Linked DNA regions of Saccharomyces cerevisiae S288C. Changing the gene in region 2 together with the main gene of any one other region gives a genetic interaction. Each region holds a gene or a part of one and is shown on either strand. Other genes may lie near its edges. The genes, in order: POL3, DDC1, DCC1 and CSM3.

Region 1 (5,531 bases), on a different chromosome or scaffold from region 2:
TTGGCCTAGCAAAATTTACAGGAGAAATGCAATTCACAAACACACTTTGTGGTACGCCTTCTTATGTAGCGCCCGAAGTCCTCACAAAGAAAGGATACACATCAAAAGTAGATCTTTGGAGTGCTGGTGTCATATTATATGTCTGTTTATGTGGTTTTCCTCCATTCAGTGATCAATTGGGGCCACCTTCATTGAAGGAACAGATCTTACAAGCTAAGTATGCGTTTTACTCTCCGTACTGGGATAAAATCGATGACTCAGTACTACATTTAATATCCAATCTTTTGGTCCTAAATCCTGATGAAAGGTACAATATAGATGAAGCTTTGAACCACCCTTGGTTCAATGACATACAGCAACAAAGCTCGGTCTCATTAGAATTGCAGCGTTTACAAATTACTGACAATAAAATACCCAAAACATACTCAGAATTATCTTGCCTCTAAACATGAGAAGCATTATTTCAAAAACATTGTTTGAATCTGGATTTTTCCAAGTATCTATTTATATATACATATATATCCACCAACATGCAAAAAGTTGTTAGCCTTTCTTAATCCTAATATGATGTGCCACCCTATCGTTTTTTACCATTTGCTTAATTGTTCTACTTTCTCCTGCAGCTCTTTTTTAACCTTAACCCGCATATAAAAAATGTCACAGTTCTTATTTGAACACAAAACTTCACTATGTAAGTTACCAGCGCACCTTTGGCATTGTGTCCATAATCTTGAGTATTTTTCCTCTAAATCTCTGACATCGTATAATGCCTTTATGTATAATTCTCCAGACCTTGCTAGACAGTTTGAACAAAGAGGGCCTTCACCTTTCCTCAACGGACCTTTACAACTTTTACAAGCCTCAACTTTTTTAATAAAGCTCATCAAGCCTCCTTTTTGAGAGCCTGTGTTAATTTTAATGGATTTCACAACGAACATACCGTTCGCCTGTTTGTCGCCAATAATAGGTGCAACAATACTAATGATTGGATTTTGTAATTGATTAGTTAAATAATAGCGCGAATCCACTTGAATATTGTTTTCTAGTACAAATAATGGATCTTCTGCTCTATTGTAAAGTTTATCATTACCACCGATAATGACATAGTCCACACGATCACCAACATTTGGACCAACGCCCTCTCTCCTCTTCATACGTTCAGCCAAAACGGCGTGCGGCTGTGGATTTGTGTAATTTGGGGCTAACGTCTTTGATATAATCAACTTTGAAATATCTACTCTATTATGCAGAATATCATTGATAGTTTCTCTGACAAAAGCTAAAGCACCATCTACATTTCTTTCAATTAAAATTTTCTTTAAAACTTTATTCATAACAATAGAAACCAAGGAACAGGAATCACGACGGACAGAAGCAAGGCCTTTTTGGTCCAACTTGTCAAACTTGTCAGGATTAGTCCAGAATAAACCTGCATAACGCTTTTTATTTATCAAAAGGTAAGGGAAGTATGCTTTTTCAAATTCTAAGTTAATCGGATGTTTGAATAGAGTGGAGACATATTTGGCAGCTTCGGTACCAAGATCCATAGCTTCCTTTAAATCTGTTGTACCAAACTTTACCATAACGGAATCAGTGTCACCGTAAACCACAACGGCATCGTGCTTATAACCATTCTTTATACAATATTTTTCTTGGACTGCGGTTTTAGTTTTTAAAATCATGGTACGACCATAAGCAGTAACAGATGAAGAAATGGCTAAACATGGCAATTTACCCACCGTCGCTCCTGTAAAACCATAGACAGAGTTAGCTGAAATCTTCAAAGCCAATTGTCTACCATTTAAAACATCTCTTTTGAATGGATCCTTCTCATCTCTCAGATCTTTTTTAGCGCGTTTTCTAGCACTTATTAATTCATCCAGAATAATTGGTAATATACCACGCCTTCTTTTTGTGGTAACAAAATAATCTCCATTAGGTGTTATGACGTAGTCTTCGTCAATTTTAAGATTCAATCTCTCTACAGTAGCTTTGTTACAAAGTGTTGTATAACATAGGTTGTGCGCCATCATAATACTTGGATATAAAGAATTGAAATCCAAAGTTGCAATCGGTACATCGTAATAACCACGAATAGGCTCAATAACAGTGGCACCCTCATATTGGTCATCAGAGGCCTGAGATTGCATGTTAGGTATCACAGTATCAATCTCCAGGCACTTTCGAAATAGTTGAGAAACAACTTTAATTTGTTGACCACGAGCTAGTAAATATGAAAATGGCACACCTGTAACACGAGCCATTTCTGTATAGTTAACTAACGCCATTAGTTTTTCCATAAGCCTTAAAGGCAGGTAGGCGTCTTTCAAACAGTAAACGGCCAACCTTCTTCTTGTTTCACTATCGCCATTTTGTAGATCAGAAATGATGCTATAATGTACATCCTCCTTCTGTTCACCTAAAAAGTGCGCAGAGACTGCATTCAACGTGTAGGATCTTAGTTTATACTCACGCTGAATAAATTGCAAAAGATCCAACTGTAATCGGCCGTCAATATTGACATTTTTGGTTTCTCTTGTACCATAAGCCTTCGAAGAGAACACAGACTCTTTAATTTCTTGCTTAACGGTTTTTAACCTTCCAAAATATGGGAAATCATTCACCTTTAGCGCCTTTGCACGGTTTAAAAGATAAGGGATATCAAAATTTGTAGTATTATAACCAATGATAACATCAGGATCAACTTTGATGATAAAGTTACGCCAATTGCTCAACATTTCCTCTTCAGTGGCGTGGGAAAAAATCATTGAACCTGTTATGGGTGAGCATGTATTCAGAGTAAACACATTACGAATGAATGGTTTCTTAGCGCCAGCAATACTCACAACGTTGGCAATTTGGATGACGGGATCGTATTCAGGTTCCGGAAAGACGCCAATCCTACCAGCACACTCGATATCAAAGGACATGATACGCAATGGAGCTGTATGAGACCAATCACCCTCAGCAGGATGTGCTATTAGGTTACGATAATTAATTGAAACTTCCAACTGACAAGAGGAAACTCTGTTATTAGGCTCAATCATCGAATACTTTCCTTTTGGTAATGTTATCCAGGACATACCGACAATTCCACAATCTACCATTAACCTTAAAGTGTAGGCAATGTTATCATAAGTAGTCGTGCCGTTAGAAAACCACGAGTTGAATGAAAGATGACCTCTTTCAAACGCAGTACGCAGTTTGTTGACCATATGCGGATAGGTGACGTATATTTTCCAGAATGGTAATTTGGTATCTCCGGAATAACCCCAGATAGACTGTTTAGATACAACTTCAATCGAATCAATAGCGTGGTCAAATGTTTCGTTTAAATAGTGCACAAACTTGTTGATTTGCTCCTGATCGTTAGCGTCGGAAGAATTGGGCGCTGGGACGTAAAGATAGTTCTTGAACCCTGTAACATTACAAAGTACAGAGTGTCCTTCACTAGTGACACCAAAAAACCTTACCACGGTAGATGTATTTTCATCTTTGATACCATTCAGTACGCTCTGTTCCGCATCAATTTGTTGGAAAGAAATATCATACAAACTTGGGTCAAAATCGGTTGGAAGTTTCTTACGCTCGAATGATGACAGGTCATGCTCTTCTTGGTCGGCCATATCATGTTCCATTTGCGATAGCTCTTGTTCAAAAGTAGACTCTAATTGCGTACCCATTAAATCTGTATCCTTTGCTTTGAAGCCTTGACTATTATATTTTCGAAAAGAATCACTCGGAATAATCTCTATTGTTGAAACAGGTTCACTTCCAACACCATGATCTATTGATTGCCGTTTGATTTTCTTTTCCAACTGGGGAGTATCCTCGTCATCGATCTTCACATCAACCATGGGAAGGGATCTTTTTTCACTCATTGCTGTGCGTATATGTATAAAGATTAATGCTTAATAGCAAGTGCTCAATATCTATTTTCCTTTATCCTTGAAAATTGCCTTAGATCAGTAGTACTGAGTGTTTGTTCTTCATAAGCGAATAGCAGATGTCCTCATTGAACATTTTATAGAATAAAAAGTTACGCGTAATACGAAAAATTGCCTATTACGTTAAGGCATACTTTTACCACACAAAACCAAGATCAACCGTCAAGCAAGAACGCTGCAAAGAAACGCAGATATAAAGGAGAACACCAGATCGAACTGCAACTATGACTGACACAAAACAGCTATTCATTGAAGCCGGACAAAGTCAACTTTTCCACAATTGGGAAAGCTTGTCTCGCAAAGACCAAGAAGAATTGCTTTCAAACCTGGAGCAAATATCTTCCAAGAGGTCCCCTGCAAAACTACTGGAAGACTGTCAAAATGCTATTAAATTCTCACTAGCTAACTCTTCTAAGGATACTGGCGTCGAAATTTCACCATTGCCCCCTACTTCGTACGAGTCGCTTATTGGCAACAGTAAGAAAGAAAATGAATACTGGCGTTTAGGCCTTGAAGCTATTGGCAAGGGTGAAGTCGCAGTGATTTTAATGGCTGGCGGACAAGGTACGCGGTTAGGATCCTCTCAACCAAAGGGCTGTTACGACATTGGATTGCCTTCTAAGAAATCTCTTTTTCAAATTCAAGCTGAAAAGTTGATCAGGTTGCAAGATATGGTAAAGGACAAAAAGGTAGAAATTCCTTGGTATATTATGACATCAGGCCCCACTAGAGCGGCTACTGAGGCATACTTTCAAGAACACAATTATTTTGGCTTGAATAAAGAACAAATTACGTTCTTCAACCAGGGAACCCTGCCTGCCTTTGATTTAACCGGGAAGCATTTCCTAATGAAAGACCCAGTAAACCTATCTCAATCACCAGATGGAAATGGTGGACTCTACCGTGCCATCAAGGAAAACAAGTTGAACGAAGACTTTGATAGGAGAGGAATCAAGCATGTTTACATGTACTGTGTCGATAATGTCCTATCTAAAATCGCAGACCCTGTATTTATTGGTTTTGCCATCAAGCATGGCTTCGAACTGGCCACCAAAGCCGTTAGAAAGAGAGATGCGCATGAATCAGTTGGGTTAATTGCTACTAAAAACGAGAAACCATGTGTCATAGAATATTCTGAAATTTCCAATGAATTGGCTGAAGCAAAGGATAAAGATGGCTTATTAAAACTACGCGCAGGCAACATTGTAAATCATTATTACCTAGTGGATTTACTAAAACGTGATTTGGATCAGTGGTGTGAGAATATGCCATATCACATTGCGAAGAAGAAAATTCCAGCTTATGATAGTGTTACCGGCAAGTACACTAAGCCTACCGAACCAAACGGTATAAAATTAGAGCAATTCATATTTGATGTCTTTGACACTGTACCACTGAACAAGTTTGGGTGCTTAGAAGTAGATAGATGCAAAGAATTTTCACCTTTAAAAAACGGTCCTGGTTCTAAGAACGATAATCCTGAGACCAGCAGACTAGCATATTTGAAACTAGGAACCTCGTGGTTGGAAGATGCAGGCGCTATTGTAAAAGATGGGGTACTAGTCGAAGTTTCCAGCAAATTGA
Region 2 (4,219 bases):
TGATTATGAGGGGCTACATGATGAAGTTGAGGAGTATAACCGGTATTCCATGAACCTTCATAATACGGAGAGTTCGGATACATATGAGGTGAGTAAGCTGCATTAAAAGCAGAGTCTGTTTTTTGCCTTTTAATTTTCGATTCATCATAGCCATCTGATAGCGTTCCGGAGTATGTAGGTTTGGGAAGCCTAGAATGTCCATCACCCTTCGAATTTTCAAAGTTATTATAATTCATAGTCCATGTCGCAATAAGCTAATCAAAATGGAAAAAGAGATTGACTTATGAGTTAAATATAATAGCATCAATGAAATTTTTAAGTTCCTATTAAGTAAAAAGCTATGCAATATAGAGATATTATGCTATTGAAAATTTTAGTTTGTTCCCCGACCGTGATGGACCATCAGCCGCACGCTCACCAAATTGAGACAGAAAAAAAAAAAAAAACAGCGATCGATATTATCATGATAATTGCTACTTCATCTAATATTTACACGCCTTTATACTGATTTTGCATTATGGTTTTAGTCAAATATACCCCTTGGCTTTTCTACTTGTGTTAGACCCAGCCCATCTTCCATCTCTTTATTGTCCTGTTTCTTGTGATTACTTGTGTCATTCTGGGAATTCAACAGACCTTGCATATGCTTCAATTTTTCTTTCTTGAGCATTCCTTTTCTATCGATATTGCTGCATGAAACCTCATCATCTGCAGCTGGTAACGCTTTTCCCCATGTCACAGTGGTGTCTGCCCTTTTTGCAAATGTAGATTGTTGGGTGGGGTCTTCAGTTTCATTACAAATATCTGCTATGGATCTTTTTAAAGAATTGCTCTCATTACGTGGACAGGCCACTTCATGAGTCGTACCAATGTCAAAACTTTGTTCCCGATTCATGTTCATATGAACTGAACTAGCCTGCCGGAACCGCTTATCTTGTTCGTAATTCGTACTTTGGCTTTGTTCTTCCACGAATAATTTTCTTGCCGTGTTATTTCTATAGGTCTTAGCAACTGTGCTTCCATTATCAGGGGTCAGATACGACACTTTCAAAGGACTGTTTCGAGTTCCAGCCACAGAGTGTGGCAGGTTTTCTCTCTTTAAAGCAGTTTTGCTTTTTAATGGACTTTCGCAGCTTTCTTTGTTGTCTTTCAGTCCGGCCTCTTCTTTGGAGCCAGAGATTGCTGTTTTTATGAATTTTCCTTCTAAAATATCATCGTTAATGTTACTGTCAGTAACTTCAACCAATTCTAATTTTACGCCCGGTTTTTGCATTTGCATAAGAATAGGGTCCCCTGGGTGGCAAAACCATAAACTTATATTATCATTTCCGTCCTGGGTAGTCTTCCAGGATGGACCTATCGTTATGAAGTTTTTGAAGTCCTTCAATTTGAATATTATACTTTTCATATGCTCTCTACGCTTACTATGTGATCGCTTATCTTGTTTTTCATCTTCGATTGTTGTAAATAAGCAATAATGCTCAAGATCGAGCGTACTGATAGTGTTACTCATGCTTAACGCATTTCTTAAAAGGTCGTTATTTTTGCCGTAGACGGCCTTGGTGAATGCAGTTATGCTTAGCCTATGTACGTTAATTTCCAATTTTACTTCATCGGTTACATTAACATTGCAGTTGTCTAAAAAATTCTTCAATAAAGTTGAATTACAACAAATGTAATTAATCTCATCAGCAGCCGTTAACTGATTCCTTTTACGTATGTCTGATTCCACTTCTTCGTTAAATAAGGCTGATGTTAGCTCACGCTCTGTATTTGTAAAAACGTCCAATAGCTTAGGGTCCAAGGGCTCCTGTGGATTCCGATCGGAGGCAGCAGTTCCAAAAACATCCAAAAACCTCCTTTTGTACTTAAGGTTGATTATTATGGGATCGTATTTTATTGGCTGGAATTGGGGACAGTATTCTTTGACTATTAACGAATCCATTTCAATCACCACAATCAATCTATTTGCAAGTGATTCAGGACAGGTAGAAGTGTTGTTTACCGCAATTGTGAATGATTTGATGCCATCACCATCCGGCTTTCTTGATATAGTTGTTAGGTGTCTTCCATTAACACGGAAGGAGTATAACTTATGACTATTGCCGTACGTATCTTCTATAACTTGAACCCCATTTTCTCCAAATACAATCTCATGTGGTTTAAACTCATACTCCTCAAAAAAGCTTTTCTGAAACCTAACCTGACAAAGAGTAGTATCTGTCTCGTTCATTGACCAAGCAATTAACTCATTTGTTGTCACTGTAATCTTGATATCATCCTGAATTGTAGATAACACATATATCGCACGAAACCAGATATTCTGCTTCCCCGACTCGGTGATAGTTGCCTTAAATGACATATATGTCTAAGCAAAGTTATGCTGTGTTATTGTTACACTAGCAATAGTATGTCAAATAATTTTGCAAATCATCTCTGGTCTATGATTACCTTTGGCGGCCTTTGATTCATTCGCGTCATTATTAAATATGCCGTCTCTTTCGGCAAATTGAGTGCACCGCAATAATATACTATGCAGAATAAAATACTTAAATTAATTATAGTTTACGTACGTAATCGCTGTCATTGAGAATTCACGACTTCGATTTTTTTATCGTTAAATGTCAGTGCTTTGGTCTCGAAGAAATTCATTTGGTTCTGGAGAATTTTTTGCTTTCGTTTTTAGTTTGTTTTTTGACTTTGACTTTTTCCCTTTCTTCTTCTTTTTTATAACTATAACTTCTTCAGTATCACTTAAATTATCCTTTTCATCTTTTACAATAAGATTGGCCTCTAAACGACTTAATTCTAACTCGTCTTCCTTTCTAAGGTTGCCCTCTTCCTGCGATCCTCTTCCTGCGTTACTCGATTGCCCAAAATTGGAAAAATCAAAATTTTCAAGTTGAGAGTGCATTCTCAGATTAATCTTGTCCTTTTTCAAAGGATTTTGAGTTGAATGATTATCATGGGGTTTCTGGAATGCATCTTTCCTTTTGGGAGCGGCTTCGATAACAGGTTCATCGGATAAGACTTGAACCCTATTTTTCTTCTTTCCCTTCTTCTTCTTTCTGCTGATTTCAGTTGTAGATAAACTTAGAGAATTCAACGAATTATCGGTTCTATTTAATCTAATAGTTTCTGGCTTTTTATCACTACTTTCCTCCTCATTCAAGTCCAACAAATCTTTAGAGTTCTTAGTTCTTTCTTCGTCTTCTTCACCTAGATAATAAGGATTTGACATCCGTTCCTTTTCTCTCTCAATCTCAAATGGATTTTCAAAATCATCCAATTTTTCCTTTTCTTCATACGAAGTATCAGAATCATCAACGAATTTTAGTTCAACTTGCTCGTCCATTGAGATATCAGACATTAAATCACTGATGGCGTCACTTTTTTGTTCATCTAAGAGTTCATCAGCTGCCTCCTTTGTCAAAAATGGAGTTTCTAGATCAAGATTCTCATCTACTGCTAACTTCAATTGAGTCCCACGCGCAATTGGTGCGAGTTCATAGGCGTTAAAAAAACTAGGCAGGACTTCGCTCAGTAGCATTGGTAGACCTTCCGTATCCTCCTCTAAAGCCTCCAAACTTAGTCTTAAAAATTCTAAAACTTCTACGCTTCTTTCCTGGACTTCGAATGTACTCGAATAAGATAAATTTTCAAAAAATTCAATTAGCTCTTTTAACACCATTTTAATTTCAAAGCGTTTATCCTCCTGAAAGTTATTACACCAATTACTAAATACTTTAACAAGTGCTAAAATTAAAACTTCTTGTACACTATGAGAATAATAACTGATATTCTCAGTCATGATTTTTATTAAGTCGTTACCATTTTCAACTAGGGTAGAAAATTCTCCGAGACACCAAATGCATTCTCTCAATACGGTAGGCAACTGTTTGTTAATATTGTCATTTGAAATAAGCTTTATAATATTAGCAATGGTTACTTCTCTCATTGAAGGAACTTTTATCATCAAATTCCTAAACTGTTCACCAATTTTTGATCCAAGGCTTTTATCAGATATGTCTTGACAGAGCATCGCCAAGTCCATTATTACTGCATTGTACCATTCAAAGTCGTTAACACTGGAATAGTTGTCAGCTGAACAAATCGATATAATGACGTTCACCATTTTTATCTTGTAATTTTCTGGAATTATTATGGGAATTCTCTTTGATTTTTCGTATACGATGCTTCCAGTTTGTAGGATAACCAC
Region 3 (3,272 bases), on a different chromosome or scaffold from region 2:
ATATCGGTATGCGTTTCCAGAGAGAAGTTGTCGTCTAACTTCACGCCTGCTGCAGGAGGGGAATAGAATCTCCTGCTTACCAAACAAGCCCTATATGTGGCCGCTGGAACGTTGTAAACTTGAGATAATCTTGTTATCGATCTTGTAGCAGTTGATTTCAACATCTTCCAGTTGTAGCAGTTCCTTCGTGTATGCGATATATTTTAATGAAAATGATGTATCTGAAATAGAAAATATAACACACTAATGAACTCTGTCGGTCTTTACTCTGAGTGAGTTACTTAGATAGTCATCATATATCCCTGGGCGATGGCCTTACTATTTGTCAGCGACCGTATCTAAAATTGGTAGGTCACTATCAACTATTGCGGGTAATAGGGTGCATAATAGTATTGTAATATATATAAATATATAAAGCTACTATGATAGATATTTGTTGCTATTCACGTCATCCACTATTACTTTAGTGGTTCCGCTATATATTCGCATTGCCCATCGAAGGCAGTTTTGTGTGCTACCTGCTCGTGACCACGGTCTTTTTGCCCAGTCTTTTACGGCGGGCATACTTCATGATGAAACTGTCTATTTTCATACCTCTTGAATTTAGTTCTTCAATTAGAGGCTTGATATCCTCCAAGTCCCACTGTGACTGTAGCCTAAACAGGACTTTAAACCGTTCTTTGGGGTCCATTGGTAGTGTGCTTTTCGCTATATACTGGACAGTCTTATCGGTAGGCTTGAAATGATAGCCTCGCAGCATGTCAATGTCAATGTCACATGGGAAGAAAGGTGGGAAAAGGGACTTCCACTTGATGAGGAACTCATCAATTGGCATGCTTATTCCAGAAACATATTTCCTTAGCGCTTGAATCCCGTACCACTGAGCTATAAACGGTATTCTCAAGCGCCACGTATTGTTTTCAGCCTCTTGCTCTTGAACAGCAAATTTATTCAGCACTGTTTCAATGATTTCTCTTGTGTATGGATTGAACTCGTCCTCAATGTCCTTCCCCACAGCGTGATGTGTATCCTCAACATTCAGATGCTGTAGATCGAGTGATTCTGCCATTGCGCTCATCAGTAGTACATGCAGTGCTTTGAAAAGGAAGTCTTGTGAAAGAATACACAACACACCGTCTTTCACAGATCCACCAATCTTATGCCATTTTGATATACCTTCTAGCGCAGAACATGGTGAGTTCTCAAGTAGTTCTTCCAGGGTCCCGATAACCTTTGTAGATGACCTCTTCATGATTTTGTCGGAGAAATCCAGTTCTCCGTTGTATATTGGTACTGAATTCAAGTTCAATTCGCCATGTGTCTCTCTGGTCTCAAATTCTGATTCAGTCTTGGCGAATCCCACGACGTCCATGTACGGCTTGGACAGTCCAAACAAGAGCGTTTCGTCGAAAGTAATAGGTTGTTCAGGAACAAATTCTCTCATTAGTAGAACTGTGTTTGAATGTTTGCGCTGCTTCAGCACCCAAGTCTTGTCGTGCGAACACAGTACAACTTCAGACTTGTCTTTGTCCAATGACTTAAACCTTAACTGGTGATTTTGAACCGGATCCTGTATTATATCCAGTAACTCTGGTGTCAACTGGATCAGCTTATAAGATGGATCATACTCGGGTGCGGAATGTAGGTTGATGGACATGGTACAGGATTATTAGTGAGCAAATCTCTGGTGGATTTTTACCGTTCATCTCATAGTGCTTTTTTAGTTTATTTTTCACTTTTTTCTGGTTATACTATACGCTGCCTACTGAAGCAATAAGCAAGAAACACAACAGTATAAAGGGACAAAGATAATAAACCGCCTACTACTAAATAATATCGCTGTGGTATGCTACTCCTAGAGATTTCGATCACCATCGTGGTGCTCTTTGTCATACGCATAGAATTGACAAAAAAGAACCCTAAGCTATAAATTAGGTCATGTTGAGCGATTGCCAGTTGCCAAGACCTAGGGTTTTGTTCGAACAATTCTAAAAAGGTAAATAAAAACAATGGTAAACAAAGGCTTTGATCTTCAATGAGGAAGATTTCTCTCACTGCGGATAGTAAAAACAACACTAGTTTGTCTGTACTCGCATTCTACTGCTGCTACCTGCTACTCATTACGTGTTCGGGCTGTTATCTGGTTGCTAAAAGAGTATATTTACACCTCACCAATGGAGAAAGACCTGTCGTCTCTTTACTCTGAAAAGAAAGACAAAGAGAACGATGAAACCTTATTTAACATCAAACTATCCAAATCTGTTGTCGAGACCACACCGCTAAATGGTCATTCATTGTTTGATGATGATAAATCACTTTCAGACTGGACGGATAATGTGTTCACTCAATCAGTATTCTATCACGGGTCAGATGACTTGATATGGGGGAAGTTCTTTGTCTGCGTGTACAAGTCCCCCAACAGCAATAAGTTGAACGCTATAATATTCGACAAATTAGGAACATCATGCTTCGAATCCGTCGATATATCTTCCAACTCGCAATACTATCCGGCCATTGAGAATTTGAGTCCAAGTGATCAGGAAAGCAATGTTAAGAAATGCATTGCTGTCATTCTGTTACAGCGCTATCCATTACTTTCACCATCAGACTTATCACAAATATTGTCCAATAAATCGGAAAATTGCGACTATGACCCCCCTTATGCTGGAGATTTGGCTAGTAGTTGCCAGTTGATAACAGCAGTTCCTCCAGAAGATCTGGGGAAGCGCTTCTTTACATCAGGACTTCTGCAAAATAGATTTGTCAGCTCTACCCTGTTAGATGTTATTTATGAAAACAATGAATCCACCATCGAACTAAATAATAGGTTGGTATTCCATCTGGGTGAACAACTTGAACAACTTTTTAACCCAGTCACAGAATACTCACCGGAACAGACAGAATATGGTTATAAGGCGCCAGAGGACGAATTACCCACAGAATCGGATGATGATCTTGTCAAGGCCATTTGCAACGAGTTATTACAACTACAAACAAATTTTACTTTCAATTTGGTAGAATTTTTGCAAAAATTCCTGATCGCCTTGAGAGTCAGAGTACTCAATGAAGAAATTAATGGGTTATCCACAACCAAATTAAATCGACTCTTCCCACCTACAATAGATGAAGTCACAAGAATCAATTGTATTTTTCTAGACTCGCTAAAGACAGCAATCCCTTACGGTTCCCTCGAAGTACTGAAGGCATGCAGCATTACTATTCCTTATTTCTACAAAGCATATACAAGACACGAGGCGGCCACAAAGAACTTC
Region 4 (3,245 bases), on a different chromosome or scaffold from region 2:
TATTTTGATTGGTCTGGCCAAACAATCCACCAGGTTGGGACTGCGACTGGTTGTTTTGTTGTCCGAATAATCCCCCGGTTGATTGCTGTTGTTGGTTATTTTGCCCAAATATAGAATTATTTTGGGCATTACCAGACGCAAAAGTGGATGCTCCCTGCTGTTGTCCAAACAGTCCTCCTGCAGGTTTGCTTCCAAATAATCCGCCTTGTTGCTGTGGCTGGCCAAATGCGTTTGAGGAGTTTTGTTGTCCAAATAATCCGGATTGGTTCTGGCTTTGGTTATTCTGACCGAACAATCCTCCAGCGTTGGAATTTTGTTGCTGGCCAAATAACCCTCCTCCACTTTGCTGCTGATTGGTTTGCCCAAATAAGCCACCAGTGGTACCAGTGGGGTTGGTATTCATTCCGAATGCTTTTGAACCAGCAGATTGTCCAAATAGTCCACCAGAAGCAGGTTTAGCTCCAAAAAGAGCACCAGTGCCTTGCTGTTGGCCGAAAGCGCCACCATTTGCGTTAGCGTTTGATTGACCAAATATACCACCACTACCTTGTTGTGTTTGTTGTTGGGGAAAGGCACCACGATTCACCTGACCAAAGGCTCCCCCGTTACTGACATTATTCGCCCCAAATGAATTTTGCTGTTGACCAAATAATCCTCCGTTTGTATTTGAGTTCTGCTGGCCGAAAAGGCCTGTATTATTAGTGCCGTTTGTTGGGTTGTTAGTTGTATTACCAAACAATCCCCCGGAAGTGGCAGGTTTATTTGCTCCAAATGCAGAATTTCCTGAGAGGTTAGTAGAGCTTCCAAACAATCCTGTAGAGTTGGTCGCTCCAGAGCCAAAGCCACCACCACTTCCAGTTCCGGTTCCAAACATGCCTGTTGCTGGCTTTTGACCAAATAATCCTCCTGTTGTAGCAGAAGTAGTGGAGTTATTATTACCCATAATTCCAAATCCAGTATTGGTAGTTCCTTGAGGATTGTTAAAAGTAGTACCAGTGCCATTTTGACTGGTACCGAATTTTCTACCAGCTTGGTAATCTTGAAATCTCAATTCTTCAAAAGAAAAATTTCTGTATTCAGGCATACAGGTGATACTTTGGAAGACGTTGATGACACCTGTGGTTGGATCCTTCTCTTCGAATGTAGTAAAAGGTTTAATGCTTGTACCTGCAGTAGAATTGGGCACAACAGAAGCGGAACCAGCAGAAAGTGCTGTGTTATTACCCATTCCACCGAAGATCGAGCCAGAGGCATTGTTGTTCGTCAATTGACTTTGACCAAAAGGAGTACCATTTGCTGTAGTCGAGCCTGACATTCCGAAGGGAGAATTAGAAGTTTGGTTACCAAAGTTACCAAACGCAGGTGCTTGTGTTGTATTTGTTTGCTGACTGAGGCCGAAAGCAGAAGTGTTTGCTACTGGTTGTTGTTGTTGCTGTTGGCCACCAAAGGTTGATCCTGTTGAGCCAAATGGCTGTGTTGTTGCGCTGGGGAATGCGCCACGGCTAACTCCAAACATAATAATGTTTTAAAAAAGAAATCTTCGAAGCTGAATGGTGCCTCTCAGTTGCCGGGATCTCTATGCAATGCTGATAGTTTCCTTTGCGACCTTATGACACTTTATTAACTCTAAGTATAATTTAGTTTTGTTCTTTTTCTAATGAGCATGGTAAGGAAAAATGCCGGGTAATGATAATCTGCAAAAGTGACAATAATAAACTGACGCGTAACAAGATCAATGATATACTGGATTAAAATGCCATGAAAACGTGAACAGAAACTTTTATTGAGGTCATGGATCAAGATTTTGACAGTTTATTACTAGGTTTCAATGACTCCGATAGTGTCCAAAAAGACCCAACTGTACCAAATGGCTTGGATGGTTCAGTAGTTGATCCTACCATTGCGGATCCAACCGCAATTACAGCTAGAAAGAGAAGGCCTCAAGTAAAATTAACAGCCGAAAAACTACTCAGTGATAAAGGTTTACCATATGTTTTGAAAAATGCACATAAAAGGATACGAATTTCCTCAAAAAAAAACTCATATGACAACTTATCAAATATTATTCAGTTTTACCAGCTTTGGGCACATGAATTGTTTCCCAAGGCAAAATTTAAGGATTTTATGAAGATCTGTCAAACAGTAGGTAAAACAGATCCAGTTCTTAGAGAATATAGAGTCAGCCTTTTTAGGGACGAGATGGGCATGAGTTTCGATGTTGGCACACGGGAGACTGGGCAAGACCTGGAAAGACAATCACCTATGGTTGAAGAACATGTCACTTCCGCGGAAGAGAGGCCTATTGTCGCAGATAGTTTTGCGCAAGACAAAAGGAATGTAAACAATGTCGATTACGATAATGACGAAGATGACGATATCTATCACCTTTCTTATCGCAACAGAAGAGGACGAGTTTTGGACGAACGTGGGAATAATGAAACGGTACTTAACAACGTTGTGCCGCCTAAGGAAGATTTGGATGCATTATTGAAGACATTCAGGGTACAAGGGCCCGTTGGCCTTGAAGAAAATGAGAAGAAGCTCTTATTAGGATGGCTAGATGCGCATAGAAAAATGGAAAAAGGCTCTATGACTGAAGAAGACGTTCAACTGATTCAAAGTTTGGAAGAGTGGGAAATGAATGATATAGAGGGACAACATACTCATTATGATTTATTGCCAGGGGGAGATGAGTTTGGCGTAGATCAAGATGAGTTGGATGCTATGAAGGAAATGGGCTTTTAGCAATGTCATTGAAGGTAATAATCCAAACGTGCGTGTGGGCATCTATACATATAGGTTTATATATATTGTGTAAATAAAGCTTGTAGAAAGAGCCTGGTTCGAGTGTTTGATTTTTTCTTCTTGGGCGTTATTATACAATATCTACTTCAAATTATTTATCTAGGTGGTCCATAAGCGAGCCGTATTATCAGCACCGGCAGAAAACAGCCAAGCTTCCCTCGGATGCCAAATAGCATCAAGAACACCCAGACTATTGATTACTTTATGACCGGTTAGTTTCTTTAGTGGCACAATCATCGGATTTTTCATCATGTCATCATAAACAGTGGCATGGAAAACATGTATGGTACCGTCATCAGCGGCAGAGCTGAATAGAGGTAACTTTTTGTGGAAATTCACACTTCTGACGGCTTTTTCATGATATCTTAGTGTCTTGTAAGGTGTGCTAGCCAAATCCAGGTCGTGCCATAAAACTCTCTTGTCAAACGATGACGCAATTA

What was found.
Region 1: mutations in DDC1 (region 2) and POL3 together harm fitness more than expected from each alone (negative genetic interaction), as found in Saccharomyces cerevisiae (5 studies listed by BioGRID, with this or other methods).
Region 3: mutations in DDC1 (region 2) and DCC1 together harm fitness more than expected from each alone (negative genetic interaction), as found in Saccharomyces cerevisiae (5 studies listed by BioGRID, with this or other methods).
Region 4: mutations in DDC1 (region 2) and CSM3 together harm fitness more than expected from each alone (negative genetic interaction), as found in Saccharomyces cerevisiae (7 studies listed by BioGRID, with this or other methods).

Annotation. Positions count from the first base shown.
Region 1 is NC_001136.10:275,222-280,752, reverse strand, and holds POL3 (DNA-directed DNA polymerase delta POL3), read right to left. Parts: upstream 3,882-5,531; coding exon 588-3,881; downstream 1-587. Other genes in the region: serine/threonine protein kinase DUN1, read left to right, coding at 1-446; QRI1 (UDP-N-acetylglucosamine diphosphorylase), read left to right, coding at 4,172-5,531.
Region 2 is NC_001148.4:177,420-181,638, reverse strand, and holds DDC1 (Ddc1p), read right to left. Parts: upstream 2,363-4,219; coding exon 524-2,362; downstream 1-523. Other genes in the region: RSA1 (Rsa1p), read right to left, coding at 1-236; APL5 (Apl5p), read right to left, coding at 2,618-4,219. UniProt on the Saccharomyces cerevisiae protein: Component of the checkpoint clamp complex involved in the surveillance mechanism that allows the DNA repair pathways to act to restore the integrity of the DNA prior to DNA synthesis or separation of the replicated chromosomes.
Region 3 is NC_001135.5:94,107-97,378, forward strand, and holds DCC1 (Dcc1p), read right to left. Parts: upstream 1,658-3,272; coding exon 515-1,657; downstream 1-514. Other genes in the region: NFS1 (cysteine desulfurase), read right to left, coding at 1-164; BUD3 (Bud3p), read left to right, coding at 2,175-3,272. UniProt on the Saccharomyces cerevisiae protein: Component of the RFC-like complex CTF18-RFC which is required for efficient establishment of chromosome cohesion during S-phase and may load or unload POL30/PCNA.
Region 4 is NC_001145.3:365,190-368,434, forward strand, and holds CSM3 (Csm3p), read left to right. Parts: upstream 1-1,791; coding exon 1,792-2,745; downstream 2,746-3,245. Other genes in the region: FG-nucleoporin NUP116, read right to left, coding at 1-1,516; ribosome biogenesis protein ERB1, read right to left, coding at 2,905-3,245. UniProt on the Saccharomyces cerevisiae protein: Forms a fork protection complex (FPC) with TOF1 which is required for chromosome segregation during meiosis and DNA damage repair. FPC coordinates leading and lagging strand synthesis and moves with the replication fork.